Anolis sagrei: one gene and its partners. The protein of the gene in region 4 interacts with the protein of the main gene of each other region in a pairwise test. Links are inferred from orthologs where the notes say so. Each region holds a gene or a part of one and is shown on either strand. Other genes may lie near its edges.

What was found.
Region 1: the proteins of BEND7 (region 4) and EAF1 interact in binary tests that used the Homo sapiens proteins (3 or more experiments, as listed by UniProt). The two-hybrid records come from large-scale screens. The link is inferred for Anolis sagrei from reciprocal best matches to the Homo sapiens genes BEND7 and EAF1.
Region 2: the proteins of BEND7 (region 4) and USP20 interact in binary tests that used the Homo sapiens proteins (3 or more experiments, as listed by UniProt). The two-hybrid records come from large-scale screens. The link is inferred for Anolis sagrei from reciprocal best matches to the Homo sapiens genes BEND7 and USP20.
Region 3: the proteins of BEND7 (region 4) and EAF2 interact in binary tests that used the Homo sapiens proteins (3 or more experiments, as listed by UniProt). The two-hybrid records come from large-scale screens. The link is inferred for Anolis sagrei from reciprocal best matches to the Homo sapiens genes BEND7 and EAF2.

What each region holds. Positions count from the first base shown.
Region 1 is NC_090026.1:80,126,764-80,134,333, reverse strand, and holds the start of EAF1 (ELL-associated factor 1), read right to left. Parts: upstream 3,005-7,570; 5' UTR 2,920-3,004; coding exon 2,817-2,919; intron 1-2,816. Other genes in the region: tRNA N(3)-methylcytidine methyltransferase METTL6, read left to right, coding at 5,988-6,284. UniProt on the Homo sapiens protein: Acts as a transcriptional transactivator of ELL and ELL2 elongation activities.
Region 2 is NC_090031.1:3,029,482-3,036,989, reverse strand, and holds the start of USP20 (ubiquitin carboxyl-terminal hydrolase 20), read right to left. Parts: upstream 3,007-7,508; 5' UTR 2,704-3,006; intron 237-2,703; exon of another isoform or gene 199-236; intron 1-198. Other genes in the region: C11H9orf78 (splicing factor C9orf78 homolog), read left to right, coding at 4,622-4,710, 6,908-6,967.
Region 3 is NC_090021.1:222,037,370-222,044,742, forward strand, and holds the start of EAF2 (ELL-associated factor 2), read right to left. Parts: upstream 3,010-7,373; 5' UTR 2,905-3,009; coding exon 2,802-2,904; intron 1-2,801. Other genes in the region: IQCB1 (IQ calmodulin-binding motif-containing protein 1), read left to right, coding at 3,529-3,666, 5,545-5,656. UniProt on the Homo sapiens protein: Acts as a transcriptional transactivator of TCEA1 elongation activity. Acts as a transcriptional transactivator of ELL and ELL2 elongation activities. Potent inducer of apoptosis in prostatic and non-prostatic cell lines.
Region 4 is NC_090025.1:92,913,288-92,920,187, reverse strand, and holds the start of BEND7 (BEN domain-containing protein 7), read left to right. Parts: upstream 1-3,893; 5' UTR 3,894-4,312; coding exon 4,313-4,373; intron 4,374-6,900.

The DNA of each region.
Region 1 (7,570 bases), on a different chromosome or scaffold from region 4:
TGAGGTCTCTTCCAACTCTATGATTCTATCTTTTTTCTATATATCTTTACTTAAAGGTTAACATCTTTAACGAAAAAAAGAAGTGGGTTGCTGTCCATGAAAGCTCATGCTAAAATAAAAGGCTGTTACCAGCCAGCCCTCTGCACAACTGCATCCATAGGTCTAACTACTCATGGCTTGAAATTGTTTGATAGAAAAAATCCAAAGTCAAAGGTGCTGCTACATTCCCCCTGTCCTCCATTTTATGATGGAAGAGACTATGCCCCCTTCTACACTGCCATATAATCCAGCTTATCAAAGCAGATAATCCACATTATCTGCTTTGAACTGGATTAGATGAGCCTACACTGCCATCTAATCAAGTTCAAAGCAGATAATCTGTCTTTTACATGGCAATGTAGGACTATATCCCTGGATCTGATCCCAGGTTTTCTGTTTATTACAGATTAATAATAATAATGATATATATTTTTTTAAAAATATTTATACCCTGCCACCATTCCCCCAAGGGGACTCGGGGCGGCTTACATGAGGCCAAGCCCAACAATGCAATACATCAATATACAACAAAACACAGCAATAAAATATAAAAAATACAAATACAATACAAAACCATTATAAATAGTACAGTATAGGAACTCAAGGCAGACTCTTTACAAGCCAGGTAGTGTCCCCAATGTCTCTATATACATAGAGGGAGAAATTGAGAAAATTGTATTATATCACAGCCATATAACCCAGAAAATCAAGGCAGATAATCCAAAATATCTGCTTTGAACTGGGTTATCTGAGGGCCCTTCTAGACAGGCCCTATATCCCAAGATCTGATCCCAGGTTTTCTGTTAACAACAACAACAACAATAAACTTTATTTCTATCTCACCACCATCACCCCAAAGGGGACTCAAAGCGGATTATATGAGGCCAAGCTCAGCAAAACACTACAACAACATAAAATATAAACAACAAAATAACATCACAGTAAAAATTAACCAATCAAATAAAATAAATAATACAATATAACATAATAGAAAATCCAACACAATGGGTGGGCCAAATGTATGGCATAAAATGATAAACCTCTGGATGAGATAGCAATGAAAAGTGCAATTTGTAGAGAATTATCCCAGATTATCGGGCAGTGAGTATTCATATAATCAAGTTTAAAACAGAAACCCTGGGATCAGATCCTGGGATACAGGGCCTGTCTGGAAGGGCCCTGAGTCCACACTGCCATATAATCCAGTTCAATGTGGATTATATACAGCTGTGTGGAAGGGGCCTTAGATCAAACCTGGGCAAACTTTGGCCTTCCAGGTGTTTGGGACTTCAACTCCCTGGAGGGCCTAACAACTGTTAGGAATTGTGGGAGTTGAAGTCCCAAACACCTGGAGGGCCAAAGTTTTCCCAGGCCTGCCTTAGATTATATATTGTACTAGTGGTCCCCTGCCACGCGTTGCTGTGGCCCTGTCTGGTGATCTGGAAAATAAAGTAATGAGACAATGTTGGTTTCTAATATATGTAATGCCTTTATGCTTGTGGGTTAAAAGTATTTCTTGTTGTTTCTTTGTCAGTGTTGATGTGGAGATTGTCTGGTTTGCCTACTCTGGACATGCAACATATCATTGTCCTTCTTTAGGGGTCCCTTTCAAATCTTTGATACTGCATCTGTCATTATACATATATGTGTGTGTGAATGGCTGGATGGCTCTTTGTCAGGAGGGCTTTGATTATGTTTTCTTGCCCTGGTGAAGGGAGTTGGACTGGATGGCCTTAAGGCAGCATTTCTCAACCTGGGAAGTCAAGACCGGGGGGGGGGGGGGTGTCACCAGGGTGGTGTCAGAAGGGTCACCAAAAACCACAGTATTTTCTGGGTTGTTGTAGGTTTTTTCGGAATATATGGCCATGTTCTAAAGGCATTTTCTCCTGACGTTTCGCCTGCATCTATGGCAAGCATCCTCAGAGGTAGTGAGGTCTGTTGGAACTAGGAAAAGGGGTTTATATATATAGTATTTTCTGTTGGTCATGGGGGTTCTGTGTGGGAAGTTTACCCTAGTTCTGTTGTTGGTGGGGTTCAGAATGCTCGATTGTAGGTGAACTATAAATCCCAGTAACTACAACTCCCAAATGTGTTCATATTTGGAGATATAGAATATTTGTGCCAAGTTTGGTCCAGATCCATCATTGTTTGAGTCCACAGTGGTCTCTGAATGTAGGTGAACTACAACTCCCAAACTCAAGGTCAGTGCCCACCAAACCCTTCTAGTGTTTTCTGTTGGTCATGAGAGTCCTGCATGCCACGTTTGGTTCAATTCCATCATTGGTGGAGTTCAGAATGCTCTTTGATTGTAGGTGAACTATAAATCCCAAGAACTACAACTCCCAGATCACAAAATCAAAAAAAATTGAGTGAAGGACATACATTGGATTGTTAGGTGTATGTTGTCCAAATTTGGTGTCAATTCGCCCACTGGTTTTTGAGTTCTGTTAATCCCACAAACGAACATTACATTTTTATTTATATTAGATATAGATAGATAGATATGAATGACAGAGAAGGCTTCGAGGAAGGGTAGAGAAGAGTTGGTAGTGAGTACCTTGTAAACAAAAGTTACATTTCCTCTATTGATTGTGACTTTGGGGAACACTCTATACATCCCCCCCCCCTTTAAAACAAACCCTCAAATGGAGATGCCACCAAACCAAAGGGGCTTGAAGTCCCAAACACTGAGCCACTCCAACGCCTGTGTCCCAAATCAAAGGCCGAAGGAAACAGGCCTGTGCGCATCGCGGCCTAGTAAACCGGGTCCCACTCACAGCGGATGGTGTGGAAGGAGGCCTTGGGGTGCCGCTCGAAGCTCTCTCCCAGCTGCAGCGGGTGCTCCTCCTTGTCCAGCAGCGGGTTCGCCGAGCCGTTCATGGCCTCCGCAGGCCGCAACGACGATGCCGGTCGCCGTTTGCCTCCTTCCCTCTCTTCCTCCCTTCCCTCCTTCCCTTCCCTTCGCTTTCTCTTCCGGGCTTGGTGTCACCGCGAAAGGGTTCCCCGCTTGGCAAGGAGGCAGGAAGGCGAGCAGGCTGCTTAGGCCTCGCAGAAAGAGAGAGAAAGAAGATCCCACAGAAGAAGAGGGAGGATGAGCCTGGATGAGTCAAGGGCGCCTCTGAGCATGGACAGAGCGCCTCAGGAGAGCGGTGCGTGTTGGTGGGGGCGGCTTTGTAGCTCTTGAGGCCTTTTAGGAAGGCAAAAGAAGAGACACCGCTGTAGAATTACAGGCAGTTTCCAAGCTACCAACAAGATGGGATTTGTAGGTTTGCTCTTAAGTTGAATTTGTTTCAAAGACCCCTTCTACACATTAATATATCCCAGGATATCAAGGCAGAAAATCACACAATATCTGAGTGTGGACTCAGGGCCCTTCCACACAGCCCTATAACCCAGAATATCAAGGCAGAAAATCCCACAATATCCTCTTTGAACAAGGGCCCCTTCCACACAGTTAAATAAAATCCCACATTATCTGCTTTGAACTGGACTATGTTAGTTTCTTAGGTGATCCCTCATTGTCCTAGTAGGATTGTCTTCCAAGATCGGTGTCCTGGCGGTAGGTCCGTAGGTGACTGTGGAGCCCTATGGGTTGGCATGATGCGCCTTTCTCTTGGCACGTTTCTCTCTTTTGCCCTCTATTCATACCTCTTCAAATTCTACAACACTGCTGGTCACATCTGACCTCCAGCTGGAGTGCTCAAGGGCCAGGGCTTTCCAGTTCTCAGTGTCTATGCCAGAGTTTTTAAGGTTGGCTTTGAGCCCATCTTTAAATCTCTTTTCCTGCCCACCAACATTTTGTTTTCCGTTCTTGAGTTCGGAGTAGAGCAACTACTTTGGGAGACGGTGGTCGGGCATCTGGACAACGTCGGCGGTTTTATAGCTTTATAAACAAGCACCTTGGTATCCCTATGGATGTCCTGGTCCTCAAACACTCTGTGTTTCATTTGGAAAAAAGCTGCACTTGCAGAGCTCAGGCGATGTTGTATTTTAGTGTCAATGTTGACTTTGGTGGAGAGGTAGCTGCCAAGGTTACACTATTAAGCTGTATTTCTGGCATTGGAGAGGGGCTGACTGTCAACTGCTGGAAGAGCACTTTGTTTTTCTCAATGTTTAATGACAGGCCGAGCTTCTCCTATGCTTCTGCAAAGGACTATATGACAGTGTGGACTCAGATAACCCAGCTCAAAGCAGATATTGGACCTTTCCACACAGCCCTATATCCCAGAATATGAAGGCAGAAAATCCCTCAATATCTGCTTTGGACTGGGGAATCTGAATCCACACGGCCATATATTCCAGTTCAAAGCAGATAATGTGCGGTTTTATTCAGCTGTATGGAAGGGGCCTGAATCTACAATCAGATAATGTGGAATTTTCTGCCTTGATATTCTGGGATATAGGGCTGTGTGGAAGGGCCCTGAGTCAGAACAGATACTTTTTAAAGTCTAACTCGGGTATGGGCAAACTTCGGCCCTCCGGGTGTTTTGGACTTCAACTTCCACAATTCCTAACATGTTGGGAATTGTGGGAGTTGGAAGTTCAAAACACCTGGAGGGCCGAAGTATGCTTATGCCTGGTCTAACTCTAGCCACACACACACACACACACAAATATATGGCTGGAGTAACACTTGATAAAAAGTACAAATCCAACTTAAGAACAAACCTACAGAACCTATCTTGCTCACAACTTGGGGACTGCCTGCATATATATATTTCATATATAAAAGCTTTGGATCGCATAGGGAAGGGTTGACACCCCAGTGGTGTTTGTTTTGCATCCTGTGTCTCTGGGCCCTTCCACACAGCCATATGGCCCAGAATATCAAGGCAGAAAATCCCACAATATCTGCTTTGAACTGGGCTATCTGAGTCCACACTGCTATATATTCCACTTCACAGAAAATGTGGGGTTTTATTCAGCTGTGTGAACGGGGCCTCTGTTCAGAAGATTTCACCTCATTTTCTGTCCCTCTGGAAAATGTGGCTTGTTGTGGAAACAGGGATTGGTGAGAAAGCTTCATTTGAGCTTCAAAACCATTTTGGAAAAATTCAGGGTTTTGCTTTGTGACCCATGATTTTAAAGCTTTTTTAACGTCATTCAGTGTCAGACTACACAGAGAAGCCAGAGCTCCTGTGAAAGACAACCTACGTTGTTTCAGATTCAATGGGTTGAATGATGTTAAAACAGCTTTAAAATCATGGGTCATGAAGCAAAACCCTGAATTTTTCTGAAATGGTTTTGATGCCTGGGTTAAATGATGCCACAAATATGTGCAAATTGATGGTGACTATGTTGAACTGTAGTTTTGAGTAGAGGATAGTTCAGGCTATGATTGGTTGCAACTTCTGCTGTTATATGTTCATTTATAACATTTTATGACACAGGAGACAAAACATTTTGACCCACCAGCGTGTGTGTGTGTGTACACATACACACACACACACACACACATATATATAAATAATCCGGACTTACACTTTAAAATTTACCTGTTGCAACATGCATGTACATTCAACTTCAGAAAAAACCGACTGAACCCATCTTGTTCGTAACTTAGGGACTGCCTGTATAGCAGTTTTCCTAAATTTATTTTTCTCCCCCGAATTGCACAGTTTTGTGGTTGAGATCTGACATATTAGAAGACAACAGGTTAGGGAAGGTTACTGTATCCCAATCTATTGTGGGAGGCTTACATCTGCTGTTGACATTGTTTCTTCTTTTGCTTTTTTCTTCTGCATAAAAATGTATTTATATTTATAAAAAGTGATATTATAGGGAAATGAATCACCATGAAGATCCTGTTATCATTTTGCTGTGTTCTCAAGTGGAAGATATAAAATGGTAACCTTTCCCTTGTTGTCGTCTTGAATCTAGTTCTTTCCTAGAAGTATGCGATTAAGGAATGCAGTGACTACAAATCTGCGCTTCCTCCTTTAATCGAAATGAACGAATTGAGGCTTCTCCAGAGTGAGTCATCTGCAGCTGAACTTGATGGGGTAATATCAGATCTCGAAAATGGAGGTTTCCATAGAAGAGGACATAAGATGAGAACGCTTAGCCCCGAAGAAGCTGAAAGGCTGGCCAAAGATCCAGTCGTAGTATCTGATTTCAAGCAACAGAAGCTTGAGAAAGAAGCACAAAGGAATTGGGACTTGTTTTACAAAAGGAACAGCACAAATTTTTTCAAGGATAGACACTGGACAACAAGAGAGTTTGAAGAACTAAAATCCTGCCGTGAAGTGAGTTTCATCTTCCAGAGATGGCTTTGCTGCCCAATTTGGAAGTAACTTGTGCCAAATAACTACATTACCTATAGAGCATGGTGTTGGCAGTGTCTTTACTTGGAAAAGTAACCTTAAAAGTAACTGTAACAGTGTTGCTTTTTGGAATAACCTGTGTTATTTTGATCCAAAACACTGATTTCAGGAGATTTATGGTCATTTTTTTTTATTTTTATTAGTATTACAAAGTACATTTTTAAAAGTAAATAAAATGTAACTAACCAGTAATGAATCACAATTAGGCACAAGTTATTTAAAAACACACACACACAAACAGAAACAGAAAATCCAACAGCACTAGCAAATTACTTTTCAAAAGTAGCATTCCAAGTTCTGGATCGTCTTTCCTGGAGGGCCCAAATGCATCATCTTCTATATGTAACTATCCTATGATTTTTGGTTGCTTCTGCTACCTTTTTGTCTTATTAGAAAAAGATCTATTATGGAGGAAAAACAAGTGGAAATGTTGCAAAATCTCCTTTTTCAGCACTAGAAACTTCCAAGTATTTTTAGACCACAGTTTCCAGGGTTAAGGAATGCTGGGAGTTATAGTCCAACAACAGCCTGAGTGATCCATAATTTCCATGGAAGCATCTCAAGTTAGAGCTACTATAGAAGTATTTTGTTTTGCTGGAAGACTGTAGGCAGTTGTAGTTTTATCCTGAGATGTACAATTTTATGTGAATGTCATGGGCTTCAGGCAAAAGAGATGTGCTTCATTTATCCCATGATGCAGCAGTTGTAGTTTCTGTGATGAGATGCGGTGTACCAACCCTTCACATATATATTTTAGGTCTGTCAGTCAATAGCTTCTTATTCAGAAGTCCTACTGTCATAAAGGAGCTGTCACGTCTGATCAAAGCTGCATGTTGTAAAGCTTGATTTAGCATTTTGGAAGAGCACAGTAGTCCAGGAGTTTGAGCAGTCTCTCTTCCTTTTTCCCAACCTAACCACCTTCGACTACACCTCCCATCATCCCCAAGCAGCAGTCAAGGCACAAATTGTTCTAGTACTCTAACTACATCTTAAAGGCACAAGATTGCCAATGGGTCGTATATTTTGTTGCAGCAATGTTGTACAACATACCTTGGTTCAAAGTTAGATAAGTTTGTGATACCATATCTTTACATTATCTGTATAAAGGTGTGTTGGAACTAGTGTAGTTCCAAAGCTGTTGTAGAATAAATCAGTTTTAGAAATTATTTTTCTATTAGGAGGACAACAGTCATGCTTCAGGTGTTTCC
Region 2 (7,508 bases), on a different chromosome or scaffold from region 4:
TACACTCTTAAGCCAAACCTAATTCACATCCAAGGTATTTCCTCTCCCAGCTAATTCAATTCTACTCCTCAAATCAATGCTCCCCCCCCCCCCCCCACCATACTGTGTCCCAAGCACAAATTCAGCCATCCATGGTTTGAAAAATATATTTTTTTAATTGGGGAGGGGATCCGTTCTATATCAGGAGCTTCATCTTACTATGAGCATGCAAATCTCAGGCCGCAGCACAGCTTCAGGTAGGGAATAGATTCCGATTATTTTCCTGCCTCCTGCCAGAAATAAAACCTCCAAGCGGTCACGTGACACTGAACAGCTGATTGTTCCTCCCAATAAATGAACATGCCATTATTCATCATTTTTCCTCACAGAAGCATCCCTGCCACTCTCCTTTCTGCCCTTGGCTTCCCATTTCTCCTTGTGCCACCATCTTCCCAATATTAAGAGTCTTGTGTGTGTGTGTATATATATATAGATAGAGAGAGAGAGAACACACACACATACATATATATACATACACACATAAAAACTGCTTTCAATTTATGGTTAGATATTATAAACACGACTATATATATATAGATAATATTGATATAGTAATATATAATACTGATATTGTACTATGCTAATAATATAATATATTGTATGTATATATATCTTGTAAGCTGCTCTGAGTCCCCTTAATTATATATTTTATATTACATGTAACATTACTAATAATATTACAATATAATGGTATAGTACAATATAGCAATATTTAATACTGATATTGTGCTATGGTAATAATGAAATATATTGTATGTATATATATCTTGTAAGCCGCTCTGAGTCCCCTTTGGGGTGAGAAGGGCGGCATATAAATATCATGAATAAATAAATAATAGTAGTAATAATAATACTAATAATAATTGTGTCTCCTGCACTGGGCTAATAATATAATATAATATAATATAACATATTGTGTATATATATAATATTTATAATGTTATAATGTAATACAATATAATACTAATAATACGATATTATAATTATATATTTTATATTACATGTAACATTACTAATAATATTACAATATAATGGTATAGTACAATATAGCAATATTTAATACTGATATTCTGCTATGGTAATAATGAAATATATTGTATGTATATATAACTTGTAAGCTGCTCTGAGTCCCCTTCCGGGTGAGAAGGGCGGCATATAAATGTCGTAAATATATATATATATATATATATATGGAGCCTCCAGTGGCGCAAGTTGTTAAACATAAGTGTGTATGTGTGCATGCGCTATATATATTGCATACAATATGTTAGTACAAACAATATTTATTTATTTATTTATTTATTACATTTATATGCCGCCCTTCTCACCCCGAAGCGGACTCAGAGCGGCTTACAAGATATACATACATACAATATATTATATTATTAGCATAGTACAATGTCAGTTATATATTACTATATTGTACTAATATGTTAGTACAAACAATATTTATTTATTTATTTATGACATTTATATGCCGCCCTTCTCACCCCAAAGCGGACTCAGAGCGGCTTACAAGATATATATACATACAATATATTATATTATCAGCATAGTACAATGTCAGTATTATATATTCCTATATTGTACTACACCATTATATTGTAATATTATTAGTAATGTTACATTTAATATAAAATATATAATTATACTATTGTATTATTAGTAGCTTTATTGTATTACATTATAATATTATAAATATTATATGTATATACAATATATTATATGTGTGTGTATTAACACAAATAAACGTGAACAGCATATATTCATATATATATATATATATATATATATAGCATTCAATATATTCATTCCAAATATATAAGCTGTGTGTATTCTATACATATGTGTGTAAACACAAATAAGTGAACAGCATATATATGTATATATAAAGTACATATAATATATTAATTCCAAATATATAAGTGCTCTCTCTCTCTCTATATATATATATACACACATATATACAGCTTATATATTTGGAATATATATATATATATATTTGTCAGCACAAACAAAAATAAATAGCACAGACACATATAGATATGTATGTATAGAATACACACTGAGAGAGAGCTTATATATTTGGAATGAATATATTGCATGCAGTTTATATATATTTATATATGCTGTTTTCTTATTTGTGTTTACACACATATGTGTAGAATACACACAGCTTATATATTTGGAATGAATATATTACATATATATATATATGCTGTTCACTTTTATTGTGTTAACAAACAAACACACACACATATATATATACAGCTTATATATTTGGAATGAATACATTACATGCAGTTTATATGTGTGTATGTGTGTGTGCATACACATACACACACACATGCTGTTCACTTTGTGTTAACACACAAACACACATATATGTATAGAATACACACACAAACATATATATACACACAGCTTATATATTTGGAATGAATATATTGCATGCAGTTTATATATATAGATATAGATATGCTGTTCACTTTTATTTGTGTTAATACACACACACATATATATGTATAGAATACACATACAAACATATATATGAACTACAGGCAATACATTAAGCAAAACAAATGATATATATAGATATACACAATATAATAGACAATACAAATAAATCTATAAGTGTAGAAACCCCCCCCCCCCCCAAAATACCTGAGGGGCCCTTCCCGGGAGGGCGCCTCTTTCCCGGGGCGGCGTTCTACGCGAGGCCGGTGCTTAGGCGCCCGGCTAGGCCTCGGTTCGCTTCCCAGGCCTGAGGCCCAGCAATAGCCTTCCTCCGCCCTTCCCTCCCGCGAAGGGCGGCCGCTCGGAAGCCCGAGACAAGAGAAGGCCGGAGGCGGCGAAGAGAACGCCGGCGGAGGAGAAGAACCCTCTGTGGCGGCGCTCCAACCTCAGCCCTCAAAACGTTCCGGACTCCAACTCCCAGAAACCCTCGCCGGCTTCTTCAATGGCTGGGAATTCTGGGAAATGAAGTCCCAAGCGGCTTGGCGCGACGCCAATGGACGGAATCACAATGAGAAAGCGGCTTCAAGCGTTCTGGACTCCATTTCCCAGAAGGCCTTGACAGCTTGTTCAATGGATAGGAATTCTGGGAAATGAAGTCCAAAACACAGGTTGAACGGACCAATGGGAAGGCGCCAATGGAAAAGGGGCGGGAAAAACAAATTCAGGCTGCTTTTCTCTGAGTCTGGACTTCATGGTCTCTCAATTGGACACAACCACAACAACAACAACAACAACAATGGCTGTATGGGAGAAAAAAGGTAGGAAAATAGGATAATATTATTTATCTATTAAATGAACTGCATGGTCTAAGATTGACATAATAATAATAATAATAATAATAATAATAATGCTCAAGATCCTGCAAGGAAGACTCCAGCAATACATGGAGCGAGAGTTGCCAGATGTTCAAGCTGGGTTTAGAAAAGGCAGAGGAACGAGAGACCAGATTGCCAATATCCGGATGCTGGAGAATGGAGAAAGGCAGGGAGTGTCAGAAAAACATCCACTTCTGCTTCATTGACTATTCTAAAGCCTTTGACTGTGTGGATCATCATAAATGGTGGCAAGTTCTTGGTGGGATGGGCATCCCAAGCCCCCTTCCCTCTCTCCTGAGGAATCTGACCAAGGACCAAGTAGCAACAGTCAGAACTGACCACGGAACAGGAGACAGGTTCAAGATTGGGAAAGGCGTACAAGGCTGCAGACTCTCCCCCAACCTTTTTAACGTGTATGCAGAACACATCATGCGAGGATGTGCGGGGCTTGATGAATGCAAAGCTGGGGTGAAAATGGCTGGAAGAAACATTAACAACCCCAGATATGCAGATGACACCACTCTGATGGCCGAAAGCGAGGAGGAGCTGAGGAGCCTTCTAATCAAGGTGAAAGAAGAAAGCGCAAAAGCCGGGTTGCAGCTAAACATAAAAAAACCCAAGATTATTGACAACTGGGAAATAGAGGGAGAAATCCTGAAATCCCCAAATCCATGACGATCGAAATTTCACACTTTTGTGCACTTAAGGAAACATATTGGAATTTCGCATCTAGGCTTGGGACCACCTGTAAGATATCTAATTAAGTATGCATATTATTCAAATACAGGATATGTTTATGCAAATGTAGGTGAAATCCCCAAATCCATGACAATCGATATTTCACATTTTTGTGTATGTAAGGAAACCTATTGGAATTTCGCACCTAGGCTTGGGACTACCTGCAAGATATCTAATTAAGTATGCACAGTATGCAAATGCAGATGAAATCCCAAAGTAACAATTAGTTTTTAAATTATCCAGATGCTTCTGTGTTTCTTTAGGCATTTTAGACCCTTATTGCATTGTATTCAAAATCTGACTAGCTTCTCTATATTCACCCCAAAGGCTTGTTTTGCCCAATGGCTGCATCCTTGTTTTGCCCTCACTTCAGCCAGGGCGGAACTGGCTTCGGCGCACGTTGTCGACGTCACCTGCACGCGACGCTCCCGCCCGTCAGAAAGCGCTTTCCTTCAGGTTGAGGCCGAGGAGGGGGCCTTCGGAGGGGGCCGCGGACATTGCTGTCTTCCGCAATGCCGGCGGGGAAGTGTTTCCGCCGGAGGAAAGCGGATTCCGAGGAGGAGGAAGATGAGGAAGACCAGCACCTCACCCGGGAAGTCCGGTCAGTATTTCCCCTCCATTTCTGGTGTTGTGAACGGCCTTCAGGCCCATTTCCAGTGGCGAAGAGCATTCGGCGCCATTTTGGGCCCGCGAAGGCTCATGGGAGTGGTAGTTCCGCAAAGGATTGGCCCGCCCTGCTTTAAAGGGACTGTCGCCTCCCTAGAACTACAACTCCCAAGCGCTATCGCGGGTCGCCAGGGCAGTTCGAATGCCATTAAATACAATGATCCCCCCCCCCGCTTTTTTGCAAGGAGAAATAGAGTAATAATCTACACATTCTATTCTATATTATCTTCTATCTATACACATTCATACACACACAGATATATATACATTCATACGCAAAATACATACCAAATAATCTATCTACATATTCTATATTCTATCTAAACACATATACATACATACACATATAGACACAATGCACACAGAATAATCTACACTTTATATTCTATATTCTTTTTGTCTATACACGTATATACACGTACACATACAGAATAATCTATCTACACATTCTATACACACATAAACATATATACATTCATATAAACATAATACATACAGAATAATCTACACATTCTATTATATATTCTATCTATGCACATGCATACATATACATTTATTTATTTAAAACATTTGTATTCCACCCTTCTCACCCTTTCGGGGAATATATAAGGGACTAAGGGCGGAGCACAGCATATACACAACAAACATTCCATGCCGGGACACAAATTCACACACATAAACATTAAAAAATTATCTCAATATTAAAATACACCATTTAAAACCGTCCTAGTCATCCGTGTAAAATCTAATTGGCCTGGACATCTTTCCTATTGCTGTTTTATTGCATACATACAGAATAATCTTATCTATACGTTCTATATTCTTTCTATACACACACATATATATATATACATACATACACATAATAAATACAGAAGAATCTATGTATTCTATTTTTTTCTATCTATACACATACATATATATGCACATATACACATACATAGACATATATACATGTACACATACATACACATAATAAATACAGAAGAATCTATGTATTCTATTTTGTTCTATCTATACACATAGATATATATGCACATATACACATACATAGACATATATACATGTACACATACATACACATAATAAATACAGAAGAATCTATGTATTCTATTTTGTTCTATCTATACACATACATATATATGCACATATACACATACATAGACATATATACACGTACACATACATACACATAATACATACAGAATAATTATCTACACATTCTATTCTTTGCTTTATTCTATTCTATCTATACATATACGTACATACACATATATCCACATACATACACATAATACATACATACATTACATATAGTAATATGATATAATAATAATAAATCCCTCCCTCAAAAGGACATAGCAGCAGACGCCATGAACACGTCTTTCAACCTCTGCCTCATAACCCGAGGATGATGGCCCTCCAAGTGCAGTGTCTTGGCAGTGGGTCTGTAAGTGCCTTTGGCCCGCATGTTCTTCCACAGTGAGAGCATCGGTTTCCAGGTGGAAGGCGGTCCCGGTCAGGGTTGGCTTGACGCGCCTTCATCATGGCACATTTCTCCCTTTCGCCTTCAATTCATGCCTCTTCGAATTCCACAGCACTGCTGGTCACAGCTGACCTCTAGCTAGAGCGCTCAAGGGCCAGGGCTTCTGTGTCTCTGCCACAGTTTTTAAGGTTGGCTTTAAGTCCCTTTTTCAATCTCTTTTGCTGTCCACCAGCATTATGTTTCCCATTCTTGAGTTCAAAGAATAGTAACTTCTTTGGGTGATGGTGATCTTTGGGCATTCAGACTAACGTTGCATTCAGTCCAGCAGAGTTGATGGCAGAGGACCATTGCTTCAATGCTGGTGGTCTTTGCTTCTTCCAGCATGCTGACATTTTCCTGCCTCTCTTCCCAAGAGATTTGCAGGATTTTCCGGAGGCAACGCTGATGGAATCATTCCAAAAGTTGAGTTTGACGTCTGTAGACAGTCCACGTTTCGCAGGCATATAGCAGGGTTGGGAGGATACAATTTAAAATTCATAGTTTAGCCTTGGCTGGATCGACCTGAAGAAGAGAGAGGCTTCGTTCCGTTTGAAATTCTGGCAGAAAGGATTGAATCTAGCCTTTGTTTTTCTCTCTCTCTTCTCAGGTTGAAACTGGAGGAAGCCAAAGAAGTGCAGAATTTGAGGAAGAGACCAAATGGCGTCAGGTCGGTGTTTTATTTTATTTTATTTTGATCCTACTTTTCTCCCAAATGTCTCATGTCGATCCCAAGGTAACACAATCCAGGAATTGCCAAAAAATTATAATTACAGCATAAGTCCACAAGCAAAAGGTATCCTTAGTAAAACTTGAGCAGGAATACAAAAACAAGAGCATAGAACACTTCCAGGATACTTCAATCCAAAACCAAGGCTTGATGTGAAAAAAGAACCAAAGAACTCAAGCCTAGCTTCTCACTTGAACACTATGGTCCCTTAAGTAAACAACTTGCTAATTAATAGGCACCCATGAAGTCATTTCTTTTCCCATTAATTCTCTCCCAAACTTTCCCACATAAACGCTCTGACCAGCGCTGCCTATTTTCCGCTCTAATCTGTAAACTAAGACTTTTGTTGATCTCTATAACTCCAGGTGTTTCTCCTGAGGACCTCCAGTATCACTTAGCTCTTTGCCCTACTCCTTATCTAATGTTGCAGTTTCTGGCTCCTCTGACTGACCTTGAAGCACTGCACTTTCCAAGTCAGGTT
Region 3 (7,373 bases), on a different chromosome or scaffold from region 4:
CAACCTGTTGTTGGCTAACATCTGGCAATTTCCGGGCATCCTAAGGCCCGTCGCAAACTCTGTTCCTGCGGGAGAAAACCTTGCTAGCATGTCCCTGACGTCACGAGACTCTGCCTCTCGCCCCGCCCCTTTCTCCGCCCCTTTCTCTTTGCCAGCGTGGTTTTTCCTTTGCTAGGGCAGCATTGCCCGCATTTTCTCTCAGTTGGCTGAATTCAACTGAGAGAAAATGCGGGCAATGCTGCCCTAGCAAAGGAAAAACCACGCTGGCAAAGAGAAAGGGGCGGAGAAAGGGGCGGGGAGAGAGGCGCAGGCTCATGACGTCAGGGACTTGCTAGCAAGGTTTTCTCCCGCAGGAACCTAGTTTGCGACGGCTCTAATGTTCCTTTCCCAAAACCACAGAATGGTAGTTCCCCATTTAAGTTTGCCAAGTTCTCTTTTCCCTTGTGTTTGATTCTTAGAAGCACTGTAGATTATTGCAAATAATGGAAACCACCAGATGAAAGTGATATTCTCAATGAGATTAACATCAACACAGGGGCTAGTTCCTCCATACTTAAGGGAAAGATAAAGATTTCCCCTTACATTAAGTCTAGTCGTGTCCGACTCTGGGGGGTGGTGCTCACTTCCATTTCTAAGCCGAAGGGCTGGTGTTGTCTGTAGACACCTCCAAGGTCATGTGGCCAGCATGACTGCATGGAGCACCGTTACCTTCCCGCCGAAGCGGTACCTATTGCTCTACTTACATTTGCATGTTTTCGAATTGCTAGGTTGGCAGAAGCTGGGGCTAACAGTGGGAGCTCACCCAGCTCCCCAGATTCAAATTGCCAGCAAGTTCAGCAGCCCAGCGGTTTAACCTGATATGCCACTGTACTTTCCATACTTTCCTTACAAATATGGGAGTTTTTCAAAATCAATTTACTCCTTCCTCATACTCTCACTGCTTTTGCAAAAAAGAGCAATTTTTGCTCATTCAAATAAATTAACTAAACACAGATAGAGTCTATAGTTCCCCTTGTACCCAAAATATCTCATTTAAGGACAAATTGCCAATATTCTTCACATTTAAAGACCAGTATTAGATGAATTAATAAAGATGATAAATTGACAAATTTCAAAGAAACTTTCAACAGACCACCAATTATTTTTTGACTTCCACTTATTTAAAAGGAGTAGGAACAAAATGACTACTGTAACAGGGTCATGAATGGTACTCTCAAAATGAAGAAAGCTCAGGGCAAGCAAGATTTTGAACAGATCTCAGGATTCCAGTAATATGCAAAGTGCGTCCTATCTCAAGCATCCGTTACTCTAGAGTAGTCATAGGTAAACTTTGGCCGGTAGGCTGTCAGGAATTGTGGGAGTTGAAGTCCAAAACACCCAGAGGGCCCAAGTTTGCCCATGCCTGCTCTAGACCCAACTATAAGTTCAGCAATATCCTTTTAATGAATGTGAATTTGGTTAATATTTATGCAAGTGCCACCAATTATGAAGATGTTGATTATTATTATTATTATTATTATTATTATTATGTATATGCTGCTTTTTCTCTTTTGTGTATTATGTATATACCCCTTTTCTTATAGAATCATAGAATTGGAAGAGAGCACATGGGCCATCCAATTCAACCCCATCCTGCCATGCAAGAACACACAATCCAAGCACCCCTGACAGATGGCCATCTAACTTCTGCTTAAAAACTTCCAAATGATGAGGCTCCACTTCCCTGCTTTGAAAAAGATACCAATGTATAGTTGGGATTCACACTTGGATCTAGTCATAAGTCTCACGCTTTATTTTTGGCACCAGTGTCCCCAGCTAACATCTCCGAATAATGGCTGTTATAAAAACCGAACTTGTCACTTCATCAACATGCCACAAGTTTTGCATTTCTATGGTTCTTCACACAAGAAACTATCAGGGCCAGCTAATCATCTCCGAACAAAGGATTCCCCCAGGCAGGAAGCAGCCAAGCTTTGAAGCTGCAAGGCTATTCAATGCTGATCAACTGCAGCTTTCACACTTGCCTCAGACAGACACCCTGGGCATTCCACAGATATATAAACCCCACTTGCCTAGTTTCAAGCAGACCTCACAACCTCAGAGGATGCCTGCCATTGATGTGGGTGAAACGCCAGGAGAGACTGCTTCTGGAACATGACAATACAGCCCAGAAAACTCACAGCAACCCAGCTCTTCACATTGTCTGCTCATAAAAGTCACTCTACTCCATGCAACAGGTGACTACAAAAGTTTATGCTTACAATTTATTTCTCCCAATCAGTCTCAAAGGTGACACAAGATCCCTTTGCATACTGATTATGTTAAATAGCTCAAGGTTCCTCCTCTCCCAAAATCTTCTGAACTCTCCTCCCCATTGAAATCCGAAGATCCAGCGCTTTGCTCGACAGTCCTTTCTTTTACCTTCTGCTTCTCACCCTCACTCAATCCAGATTGCAGAATTATAGCAGTTTAACACCACTTCGACTGCTAATGTTCCATCCTATAGAACCCTAGGATTTGGAGTATGGTGACAACCCAGGGAAATCTACACTGTTTCCCAAGCTCTGGCCAGCCAGGTGCTTTGGACTTCAACTCCCAGAATCCCTCATCATTGACCAAGGTAGCTAAGGCTTCTGGGAGTTGAAGTCCAGCATCACTGTGATCAAAGAATTCTGAACATTCCAGCCCTTCTGGACTTCAGATCCCAGAATTCCTGGCCGTCGGAAAAGGTGGCAAAGGCTTCTGGGAAATGAAGTCCCAGACCCTCCTGGCAGCTTGAACGCCGGTCCAGCCTCACTCACAGCGGACGGTGTGGAAGGCACAGCGCGGCTGCCTCTCGAAGCTCTGGCCCAGCCGAAGGATGCGCTCCTTACAGTCGAAGAGCGGCGGGGCCGCCCCGTTCATCCCCCCGCCACACGCAGTCCTGCGCTCTGGTCACTCTCGAAGAGATGCGCTGCCTAGCGCTGCCACAACTGCCCGCCCCGCCTCAGCCAAGCCACACAGCTCACAAAGGCCACGCCCCCTTCCCCTCCTGCCTTCCTTTCATTGGGCGACTGCGCCGACACCACGCCCACCTGGATACGTCCCGCCCCGTTCTGGGGACAAGCGTGACGCAAGAGAACTGTGGCTTTTTTGATTGGTTAGCGACACTGCCACTGTCGCTGAATGAAGAAAGGTTGAAACTCCCGGAGCGCGAGAGAATGCTGTTTATGCAAATTAGGGTGGTTTAGGGCGGGGCGACGGGCAGTGGCGTCTCGCTCCGAGGATGGCGGCGCTGCTGATTGGTGGGCTCCTTGTGCCCTCACCATGGTAACTGGCCGTTGGTAGGGAAACCTCACTAGTGTTTCCGGTCGGGAGCGGAAGCGGTTGAGAAGTGGATCAAGAATGCCTTGATACCTGAAGATAACTTGAGAAGAAACGTTGTTCTCCAGGTCTTCTAAAGGAGTGCGGCTTCAACGGTCTTTATTAGTGTTCTGCATCTATTGTTGTTGTTCATTCGTTCAGTCGTCTCCGACTCTTCGTGACCTCATGGACCAGCCTACGCCAGAGCTCCCTGTCGGCCGTTACCACCCCCAGCTCCCAGCTCCTTCAAGGTTAATGCAGTTTGACACCACTTTAGGTGCAGCGGCTCAATGCTGTGGAATGAATCCCGCGAATTGCAGCCTGGTGAGGCCCCAGCGCTCTTGAAAGACCTTGTCAAACGAAAACTCCCAGGATTCCATAGTATTGCGCCATAGCAGTTCAATTGGATCAAACTGCATTAATTCTACAGTGTAGATGCACCCCTTGTGAAGGAGAGGCCTCCAGGCCACCCTTATTATGAGCAAAATGCATCCAGAGATGGCTTTTTCTTTTACCAATCTCTACTCCTTATCAAATTTCCATATCTATTTTTGCGCTAGCATGTTGGTGTTAACCTAACTTATCTTATCTGCTTCCCCGTTGTCTCTGTTGCATTGTTTTCAAATGCTCAGTATGGGATTCTGGGGCCTGCTGTTTCCCTTGCCTGCTGTAGGTAGGCACAAACAGTTATAATAATCCCATGGAGTATAGAATCCAGCTTTTTCCAAGCTATCACGGCAAAAGTATGATAGCTGGGACCCAATTCTGGTTGCGTGACGAGGGTCAGTTAGAGAAGCGAAGACGTTACATATTTGAACGTGCTTGCATACGATATCCGGATAGCCTTAAGTAGTATGCTTGGCTATTTGTTGACCTCCCCCCCCCCCCCCTTTCTGGCAAACTATTTTGCCACGACTCTGTCACAGCTGTGTCTCTCACTCGTTGTGCTGTCTTGGCATTGTGTCCCAGCTATCATACTTTCGCCGCTATCACTTTATTATATGTATTTCTGATATTTTGTTGTAACCTGACACTGAAAATGTGTGTCATTCTCCAGTATATCATTAAGAGCCTTCCAGTGCTGATGCAGCTAAACAACCTTTCCAGCTAGACAGGATAATGAGAAAAAAGCGAGGTGAATGCGAATTAAAAAGACTGCCAATAAGGGGCATCTTCAACAGAGGCTTTGTTAACTGAGGCCCCTTCCAAACAGTTGAATAAAATCCCACATTATTTGCTTTGAAGTGGGATAAATGGCAGTGTGGACTCAGATAACTCAGTTCAAAGCCAATGCTGTGGGATTTTTTGCCATGATATCCTGGGTTATGTGACTGTGTGGAAGGGCTCTGAGAAACATCTTTAGTACTTCTGCCCTCAACACTCCTTGTAGTCCAACCCCGCTTTCCCCATAACTGTTAATTTGGTGGCCCTTCCACACAGCCATATAACCCAGAATATCAAGACTGAAAACCCCACAATATCTGTTTTGAACTGTGTTATCTGAGTCCACACTGCCATATATCCCAGTTCAAAGCAAATAATGTGGGATTTTATTGAGCTGTGTTGAAGGGGCATAAGAAAGCCCAAATAGGGCAGGTGGTTTAGCATACAAGGAGTTCATACTTACATTTGGCATATCTATTTGCAGAGTCGAACTGGTGGGGAAGGAAGGGTTGCTCTCATGTGTTGAAATAGTTATGGTTATAACATTAAAATAATAAATTGACATGACAAAATATTCTTGTAGTTATAAAAAGCTATTTGTTTCAGTTTTGGAGGCATGCAATTATCTGATGATAATTCTATAAATGATACCTGGTGAATCACAGTATATGAAATTATCTGGAAATGATTTACTGACAGTCAAATCTAGGTCTCTTTGTTCTGACTGACAGCTGATCTTAAACTTCTGCATCTTTTATGCGAACCCATTAAACTGAAAATGCTAGGGAATGAATCTGCCATAAAAGTATATTTTCAACTGTAGCTGCGAGTGGGACAACTCCCCCGGCTCACCAATATTATAAAGGTAAAAAGATGAAAGTATCTTTAAGAAAACAGAATTTGTGAGATTCTTAATGACATTTGCCTTCAGAACATATCTGGTGTTAATTTTATTAGACACATCATCTAATCCACTCTTCTCCAACCGAAGGCAAATATCTTGCTGGTTTTGTCCTCCTTTCTCTTATTAAAATACAGCTGTCCTATGAAATGAAGCCATTACCTGTGGATCCCAGAATATTGTCACTGGCTGCCCAGGTCACTGAAAGCTCAGGTCAGGATGTCCCTGGGCTACTGCTAAAGATAAAAGGTAAGTATTTATTTATTTGCTTAGGAATTGACAATATTCTACTAATCTATCCTAAAATCTCTAGTGCCATAGGTCCCTTGGTAATACTGTCACATCTTATGCGGGGGGTGGGGGGGGGGCATTTTCCCCATTTACATCAAGGTGTAGTCATCTCAACATTAGGCTTTTTCTTTTATAACAAGGTATGCATCTTCTTTCAAAATGAAATTGCTTTTCTGGGAAGCAAGGTCTGGGAACTGAAAATGAAACCCACACTACACATTTTCCATTCCTGTTTTAACTTCAAGACAAATATGTACATGAGACAAATATGTACAAAGCCTCTTATATAACAAATGAACCTGAAATTTATTTCATTTATTTATTTACTTTGTTTTATTTCCCGCCTTTCCCCCTCATTGAGCATCTAACGCTAGGCAACAATTTAATGCCGTTCAGATATAATACAGTACTGACTCAAAATACATAAAAATAAAAAAACACAAAGCTTAAACAACAATACATTTGATAAATTCAAAATTCATTATCACAGTGCTCTATCTGATGACGGTTTTTGAAATAACACCTGTGCTTCTTTGATGTTTTGCTCCAAATTTTATGAGTATGAGTATAAAACTTGATTTGGGGTTAGAAAAGCAAGAGAATTTATTAGCATGGAGTAAGTTAGTTCTTCCTATGTCCCTTCCTAATAGAGTAGCTGTAAGAATGATATAGTCATCAAGGACCAAGGTCTTAAACAAAAATCATTTGCAAATAACTAAGTCTATCATATTTGGTCCTTGTCTGTATTGCCGGTGATCAGGCCATATACTACAGGTACATTAATTTTAATACAATGCATTTAATAAGAATAGTCAACCCTGATTGGGAGTTATGTGGGTTTGTTCACAGAACCTATAAGTATTTTCAAGGAAAATAGGTGCAGGAATTAGGGACCAGATGGAGCAACAATGAGGCATGTATATGTTTGCTAGATTTCACCTAGGACAAGAGGAGCCCCTGGTGGCGCAATGGGTTAAACCTTTGTGTCAGCATGACTGCTGACCGACAAGTCAGCGGTTCGAATCCAGAGAGCAGGTTGAGGTCCCTGTGTCAGCTCCAGCTCCACCTGTGGGGACACGAGAGAAGTCTCCCACAAGGATGGTAAAACATTAAAACATCCAGGTGTCCCCTGGGCAACATCTTTACAGACGGCCAATTCTCTCACACCAGAAGCGATTTTCAGTTTCTCAAGTCGCTCCTGACAGGAAAAAAAAAACTAGGACAAGGCTTCTGTTCTCTTTATGTTACCATGGCAAATATTATTCCTATTTAAAAACATTTCATTCTCAAGAGAGACTGAGGAAAAACCACAAAGGCATTATAGTTAGAGGAACTCTGAATTGCTAGAGGACTACTTTCCAGTAAAGGAAGTCTTTGTGGGCAAAGATTGCTAATTCTAGCTGTGCAGAAGAAGGAAGTCTTACCCTCTGATTACCAAAACCCCATTTCAGTATCTGTCTTGTTTTGTGGCTATAATTCATGCTTGTTCAAAGCTTTTTCTGAACCATCTTAATCTTTACTTAGGTGTGCTTCCAGTGCTGCTAAAGTCTTGTCTGTGCCATTATCCTGATTGCTTTGCCTGTCTTACCTTGCCCATCAAATCTAACCTGTAGGTCAAGGCTGGGCAACTTGTAAATGCAAATAATTATTGGATTGCAACTCCCATAAGCTTCCA
Region 4 (6,900 bases):
AATTTCCACTATCTTGGCAGCCACCTCTCCACAAAAGTCAACATTGACACTGAAATTCAACACCGCCTGAGCTCTGCGAGTGCAGCCTTTTTCTGAATGAAGCAGAGAGTGTTCGAGTACCAGGACATCCGTAGGGATACCAAGGTGCTTGTTTATAAAGCTATTGTCCTCCTAACCCTGCTATATGCCTGTGAGATGTGGATTGTCTACAGACATCACATGCAACTCCTGGAACGATTCCATCAGCGGTGTCTCTGGAAAATCCTGCAAATCTCTTGGGAAGACCAGTGGATAATGTCAGCGTGCTGGAAGAAGCAAAGACCACCAGCATTGAAGCGATGGTCCTCCGCCATCAACTCCGCTGGACCAGCCATATTGTCCGGATGCCCGACCACCGTCTCCCAAAGCAGTTGCTCTACTCCGAACTCAAGAACGGAAAATGGAATGTTGGTGGCCGGGAAAAGAGATTTAAAGATGGGTTCAAAGCCAACCTTTAAAACTGTGGCATGGACACCGAGAACTGGGAAGCCCTGGCCCTTGAGCGCTCCAGCTGGAGGTCAGCTGTGACCAGCAGTGCTGTGGAGTTTGAAGAGGCACGAATGGAGGGCAAAAGAGAGAAACGTGCCAAGAGGAAGGCGCATCAAGCCAACCCCGACCGATACTGCCTTCCACCTGGAAGAAGAAGAAGATGCAGATCAAGAATTGGGCTTCAGAGTCACCTCCGGACCCACCGACAGAACACCGACCTTGGAAGACCATCATCCTTGGACTATGAGGGATCATCTAAATAAGTAAGTAAGGCAATGAAGGTACACAACAACAATCGTGACATGGCTGGGTGTGTCATTTCCATCTCTGACTGAGGCAGAAAAATATGCTTGGTCTGCCTTGACGTTGATGTTGAGGAATTTAGGAATAAATTAAGTGTAAATCTACTAGTCAGCTTGTTTAGCCTATCTCCTGACCTATCAAGTTAGGCATGTTTCATGCCCAACTCAATGCTATGAATATTTACTCATAAGAAAGTTATACGGCTTCCCAAGAGGGCCGGCCCTGGTTAGGTTTCTGGGATCGAAATCAGAAAAAGACAGGCAATAAACAAGACACATTGCAGCCAAAAACTCCAAATAAGACTTCTTTATGGCCGATGTTGAACTCATCTTAATCTTTTAAATCTCTCTTTGCAAAATTAAACTCCTTACGGGTTTTAATTGTCTGTAGTTGTGGCAATTTGTGTGCCTTAATTTCATTTTTGAGTAAACAATACAGCTTAAAAGTATGTATATATTTCCCTCTTGTCGCCATATCTAGTCACACAAGAATTTGGAATATTAAAAGCCACTTTTAAACTGAGGTGAGAAAACAGAATATATACAGGGAGGAGGGAGCAAGCTTGTTTTCTGCTTCCTTGGAGACTAGGACACGGAACAATGGCTTCAAACTACAAGAAAGGAGATTCCATCTGAACATGAGGAAGAACTTCCTGACTTTGAGAGCCGTTCAGCAGTGGAACTCTCTGCACCAGAGTGTGGTGGAGGCTCCTTCTTTGGAGGCTTTTAAACAGAGGCTGGATGGCCACCTGTCAGGGGTGCTTTGAATGCAATATTCCTGCTTCTTGGCAGGGGGTTGGACGGGATGGCCCATGAGGTCTCTTCCAACTCTATGATTCTTCAACTGTAAGACGCACCTCGATTTCAGTAACACCACCAGCAACAAAAATATATCTGATACACCCACGTCCTAAGATGCTTCCCATTTGTAGATATGTTTATACAGGCAGTCCCCAAGTTACAAACAAGATAGGTTCTGAAGGCTTGTTCTTAAGTTGAATTTGTTTGTAAGTGAGCACATTTTAAGTGCAACTCCAGCCAAATATAGAGCCCAAACTATAGCCCCCATGACTCCTTAGCATGGTGCCAGAGAAGTCAAAGTGGATTCATTCTACAGCAGAGATGCACCCCAAGGTTTTATTTTTCCATTGCTGAAAGCTTTGGTGTTCTAACACTTTTGTTTTGAAAGAAGGAATTTTGAGCAGGCAGCCACTGTAACGTGTACCTTTTGGGGCCAAATTACAAAGAGTGCACTTTTGTGCTGCTGTGCATTACAATAATTTATTTTGGTTTCAGGGTTTTGGAAATTGAGGTGCGCACTAGATTTGCTGGTGCAAAGTAAATGCAGGATGATTGTAAGCTGTCTAGTTTACAATCATCAATGTTCTGGGAATGATATATATCATTTAGTGTGTTCTATTTTGTCTTTTTCTTGAGATAGAAATATAGATATGGTGGAACCTCTACTTAAGAGCACCCCAACTTAAGAGTGTTTTGAGTTAAGAACCATAAATGGGCCGATGGTTTCACTCTGACATACAAGTAGCATTTTGAGTTAAGAGCTAGTGCCAAATACTGGGTTTTAAGGCTTCAAGGGAACAGCCTCTGTGCCTTGTGCCGCCGTGCTTCCTGCGCTTTTCTGCTTGTGATTGCGATCCCCTTTGCTCTTATCTGATTTGGACACAGAGCTCCCATGACCAACAGAAAATACTAGAAGGGTTTGGTGGGTATTGACCTTGGGTTTTAGAGTTGTAGTTCACCTACATCCAGAGAGCACTGATGCATCTGGACCAAACTTGGCACGAATACTCAATATGCCCAAATGTGGACACTGGTGGGGTTTGGGGAAAATAGACCTTGACATTTGGGAGTTGCAGTTGCTGGGATTTATAGTTCAGCATTCTGAACTCCACCAATGATAGAATTGGGCCAAACTTCCCACACAGAACCCCAATGACCACCAGAAAATACTGTGTCTTATCATTGTCTTTGGCGACCCCTTTGACACCACCTCGCGACCCCCCCAGGGGTCCCGACCCCCAGGTTGAGAAACACTGTCGTAGATGGAAAAAGGCCTGTTTGCTGGCAGCAGCGACCTGAGCCTCCATCGTCAGCTGCGAATCCAAAACGACACCTAGGCTCTTAACGGTAGGCGATGGAGATAGAGAAGGTAGGTAACGGATGGGTCGGACCTATCGGGTGGCCATGCCAGAGAATCTCAGTCTTTGCCGGGTTCACCTTCAGTCTGCTAGCATGTAGCCAGTTCGGCAGAGCCTCCAGGCATAAGGTGAAATTGTCAGGTATTGACGTTACTCCAGGCTCCAAGCGCAACAAGCTAAACATGCCCAACTCTTTAAGCCGCTCCTCATTGGGCTTGTTCTCCAGACCCTTGATCATTTTAGTCACCCTCCTCTAGGCATGTGAACGCACTACTTCGAATCCAAGTCTCCAGGGCAGTAGAAAACAAACCTGCTCCCTCTTCCTTATGGCATCAGTTTTTAACATCAGTAGAAATAGCTAATATTAACATAAATCGCTCGAGGGGATGTCAAGAAGCGGCCTGAGGTAACTCTAACTGAAAGGCCGTTCATGGCGAGAGAGAGGGCTGCTTCCTTCCTGCCTTGCTTGTACCGGGGATTGAGGCGCGCGACGCTGCCCTAGTGGGCAAAAAGGGCGCGAGGAAGCGGCTGAGGGGGCACGAGCCATGGCCTCCGTCAGGGCGCCGCACTCCTTCCCTCCCTCTCTTTCTCTCTCTCTCCCTCAGGTGGATGGGATGGAGGGCACAAAATGGCGCTGCTCCCTCCCCCTCCCAATGGCCCGGGCTCTGAGGCAACCCCACGCCCCCTGTCAGGGACAGACAGGGAGGGAGAGCCAGGCAGCGAGCGGTGTGCCCGCCCTCGCTATTAGCAGCCATGACACTCTGCTCTATCTCCCCCACTCTGTTTCCTCCTCCTCCCCCTTGGGGCCCACAGCCGCCGCTGCGTCCCCGGCCTGGCGTGGGCTGCCCAGCCGGCCTGGAGGTGGCAGTGGCGGCGGCGGCGGCCTTTGGGCCCAGCCTCCCGCCGCGGGGCGTGTGCCTCGGCTCTCCTCCTCCCCAGCAGGTGGCACCGGGCGCCCAGTCACCACCACCGCCGCCTCCTCCTCCTCCTCCCCATTGATTCGCCTCCCTCTTCCTCCCGCCCCCTTCCTCCCTTCCTTCCCTCTCTCTCCTTCAGAGGAGGAGGAGGCGGAGGGGACGGCAGCCCCTCTCCAAAGTTTGGAGCTGGATGCGGGCGACGCGGGGAGGCGAGGCGAGGGAAAGTCCGCCGCCAACTTGTCCCGCTTGGCCCTCCTTCCTCCTTCCTTTCTGCCCATTACAGAGACGGACCTTGGTCTCTCTCTGGCGGCTGGACCCTCCTTCCTCCTCTTTTCTCCTTCCTCCTCCTCGTCGCACTTGATTCCTCCTGCCTTTCTTCTTCCTCCTCCTCCTTCCTGCTCGCACTATGGAGTTTACTGAGAGGAAAAGAAGCAGGAAATCCCAAAGCTTTAAACTGATAAATCAAGGTAAGGAAAAAGGGGAAAAAAGGGGGGGAAGGGAGAAAGAGAGACTGGGAGAGAGGAAGGGAGGTCGTCGTCTGTGTGACATTTCCTTTTTGTCTCTGGGAAATAAAACAAGGAAGACTTCTAGATACAGAGAGTTTGGCAACCAGGATGTGTGACCCTTCTACACCTGAATAAAATCCCACAATATCTGCTTTTAACTGGGATATATGGCAGTGTGGACTCAGATAACCCAGTTCAAAGCAGATTTTGTGGGATTTTCTGCCTTGATATTCTGGGTGGAAGGGCCCTATGTGTCCTTCCTTTCAGTCTCATTAGGATTATTTTAACTATTTAATAATCTTGGAAGCGGTGTTTTTGCGTGTTTTTATTTATTCAGAATCGGCACTTTTTTCTCAGGGAGCCAAGACATCAAATGTGAAAGTTAGGTGGCACTTCCTGGTCAATGCAATTTTCAAGAAGAGGCGAATCAGGAAATCAGCCAGACAATGATATTTATGGCCCTTCCACACAGCCATATAACCCAGAATATCAAGGCAGATAATCCACAATATGTATTTATTTATTTACGACATTTCTATGCCGGCCTTCTCATCCCGAAGGGGACTCAAAGCAGCTTACAAGATATATATCCGTACAATATGTTATATTATTAGCCTAGTACAGTGATGGGCAACCTTTTGAGCTTGGTGTGTTAAAATCTGCCAAAAACCTGACCATAACTTGGGTGGAGTGTCAACTTCGAGAAAAAAAACCCCATAACTTTGCAATATTTATAGTTTAAATAAGAAAAATGTATATTCCATGCTGAGTTATGGAGTGAACAATGCTCAAACATGCAGATGTTAAATTTGTAGAGCCTTTTACAAATTTAAGGATGGAATTCAATTGGCCCTTATAAGGTGTACTTCTCTATATGCGGCCGCATGTGGCTGCGTGTCATGAAAAATAGCCATGCGTGTCAGTGCTGACACACGTGTCATAGGTTCACCATCACGGGCCTAGTACAATATCAGTATTAACTATGGAGCCCCCGGTGGCGCAGTGGGTTAAACCCCTGTGCCGACAGGACTGAAGACCGACAGGTCGCAGGTTCAAATCCGGGGAGAGGCGGATGAGCTCCCTCTATCAGCTCCAGCTCCTCATGCGAGGACATGAGAGAAGCCTCCCACAAGGATGATAAAAACATCAAATCATCCATGCGTCCCCTGGGCAACGTCCTTGCAGACAGCCAATTCTCTCACACCAGAAGCGACTTGCTCCTGACACGACAAAAAAAAGTACTAAATATTACTATATTGTACTATACCATTATATTGTAATATTATTAGTAATATTACATGTAATACCGTATATACTCGAGTATAAGCCGACCCAAATATAAGCCGAGGCACCTAATTTTACCACAAAAAACTGGGAAAACATATTGACTTGAGTATAAGCCAAAGGTGGGAAATACAGCAGCTACTGGTAAATTCCAAAATAAAAATAGATTCCAATACTATCTCATTAACTGAGGCATCAGTAGGTTAAATGTTGGGTTGTTGTAGGTTTTTTCGGGCTATATGGCCATGATCTAGAGCAGGGGATCCACAAACGTTTTACCAGAGGGCCAGGTCATAGTCCCTCAAACTGTTGGAGGGCCGGATTATAATTTGAAAAAAAATATATGAATGAATTCCTATGCAAAGTGCATGTATCTTATTTGTAGTGCAAAAACACTTTAGAACAATACAATAATTAAAATGAAAAACAATTTTAACAAATATAAACTTATTAGTATTTTATTGGGAAGTGTTGGCCTGCTTTTGGCTGATGAGGTAGGGTTGTTGTTGCTTTGTGCTTTCAAGTCGTTTCAGACTTAGGTTGACCCTGAGCGAGGGCCAGGTAAATGACCTTGGAGGGCCACATTCGGCGCCCGGGCCGTAGTTTGAGGACCCCTGTTCTAGAGGCATTCTCTCCTGACGTTTAGCCTGCATCTATGGTTAAATGTTTTTGAATATTTACATAAAACTGTAATTTAAGATAAGACTGTCCGACTCTGATTAAACCATGATACCAACCTTTTTCAGTGTAAATGTTTGCACATCCTTTCAGTAATAAAAGAGTAAAATAATAAATGTAATAATAATAGAGCAAAGTAATAGAAATGTAATAATAACAGTAATAATAGAGTAAGATAATAAATGCAATAATAACAGCAATAATAAAGTAAAATAAAAAATGTAATAATAATAGAGTAAAATAATAATAATAATAGAATTAAATAATAAATAATCTTGACTCGAGTATAAGCCGAATGGGACTTTTTCAGCCTAAAAAAGGGTTGAAAAACTAGGCTTATACTTGAGTATATACTTTATTTTATTTATTTTATTATTTATTTAATTATTTTATTTAGTACATTTCTATACCGCCCCTCTCAGCCTTTCGGCGACTCGAGGCGGTTTACAAGGCAAGAATTCAATGCCACCAAGGACACAATTGCAATATACAATATTAAAACATCAGCAACAATAAAATCAAACAT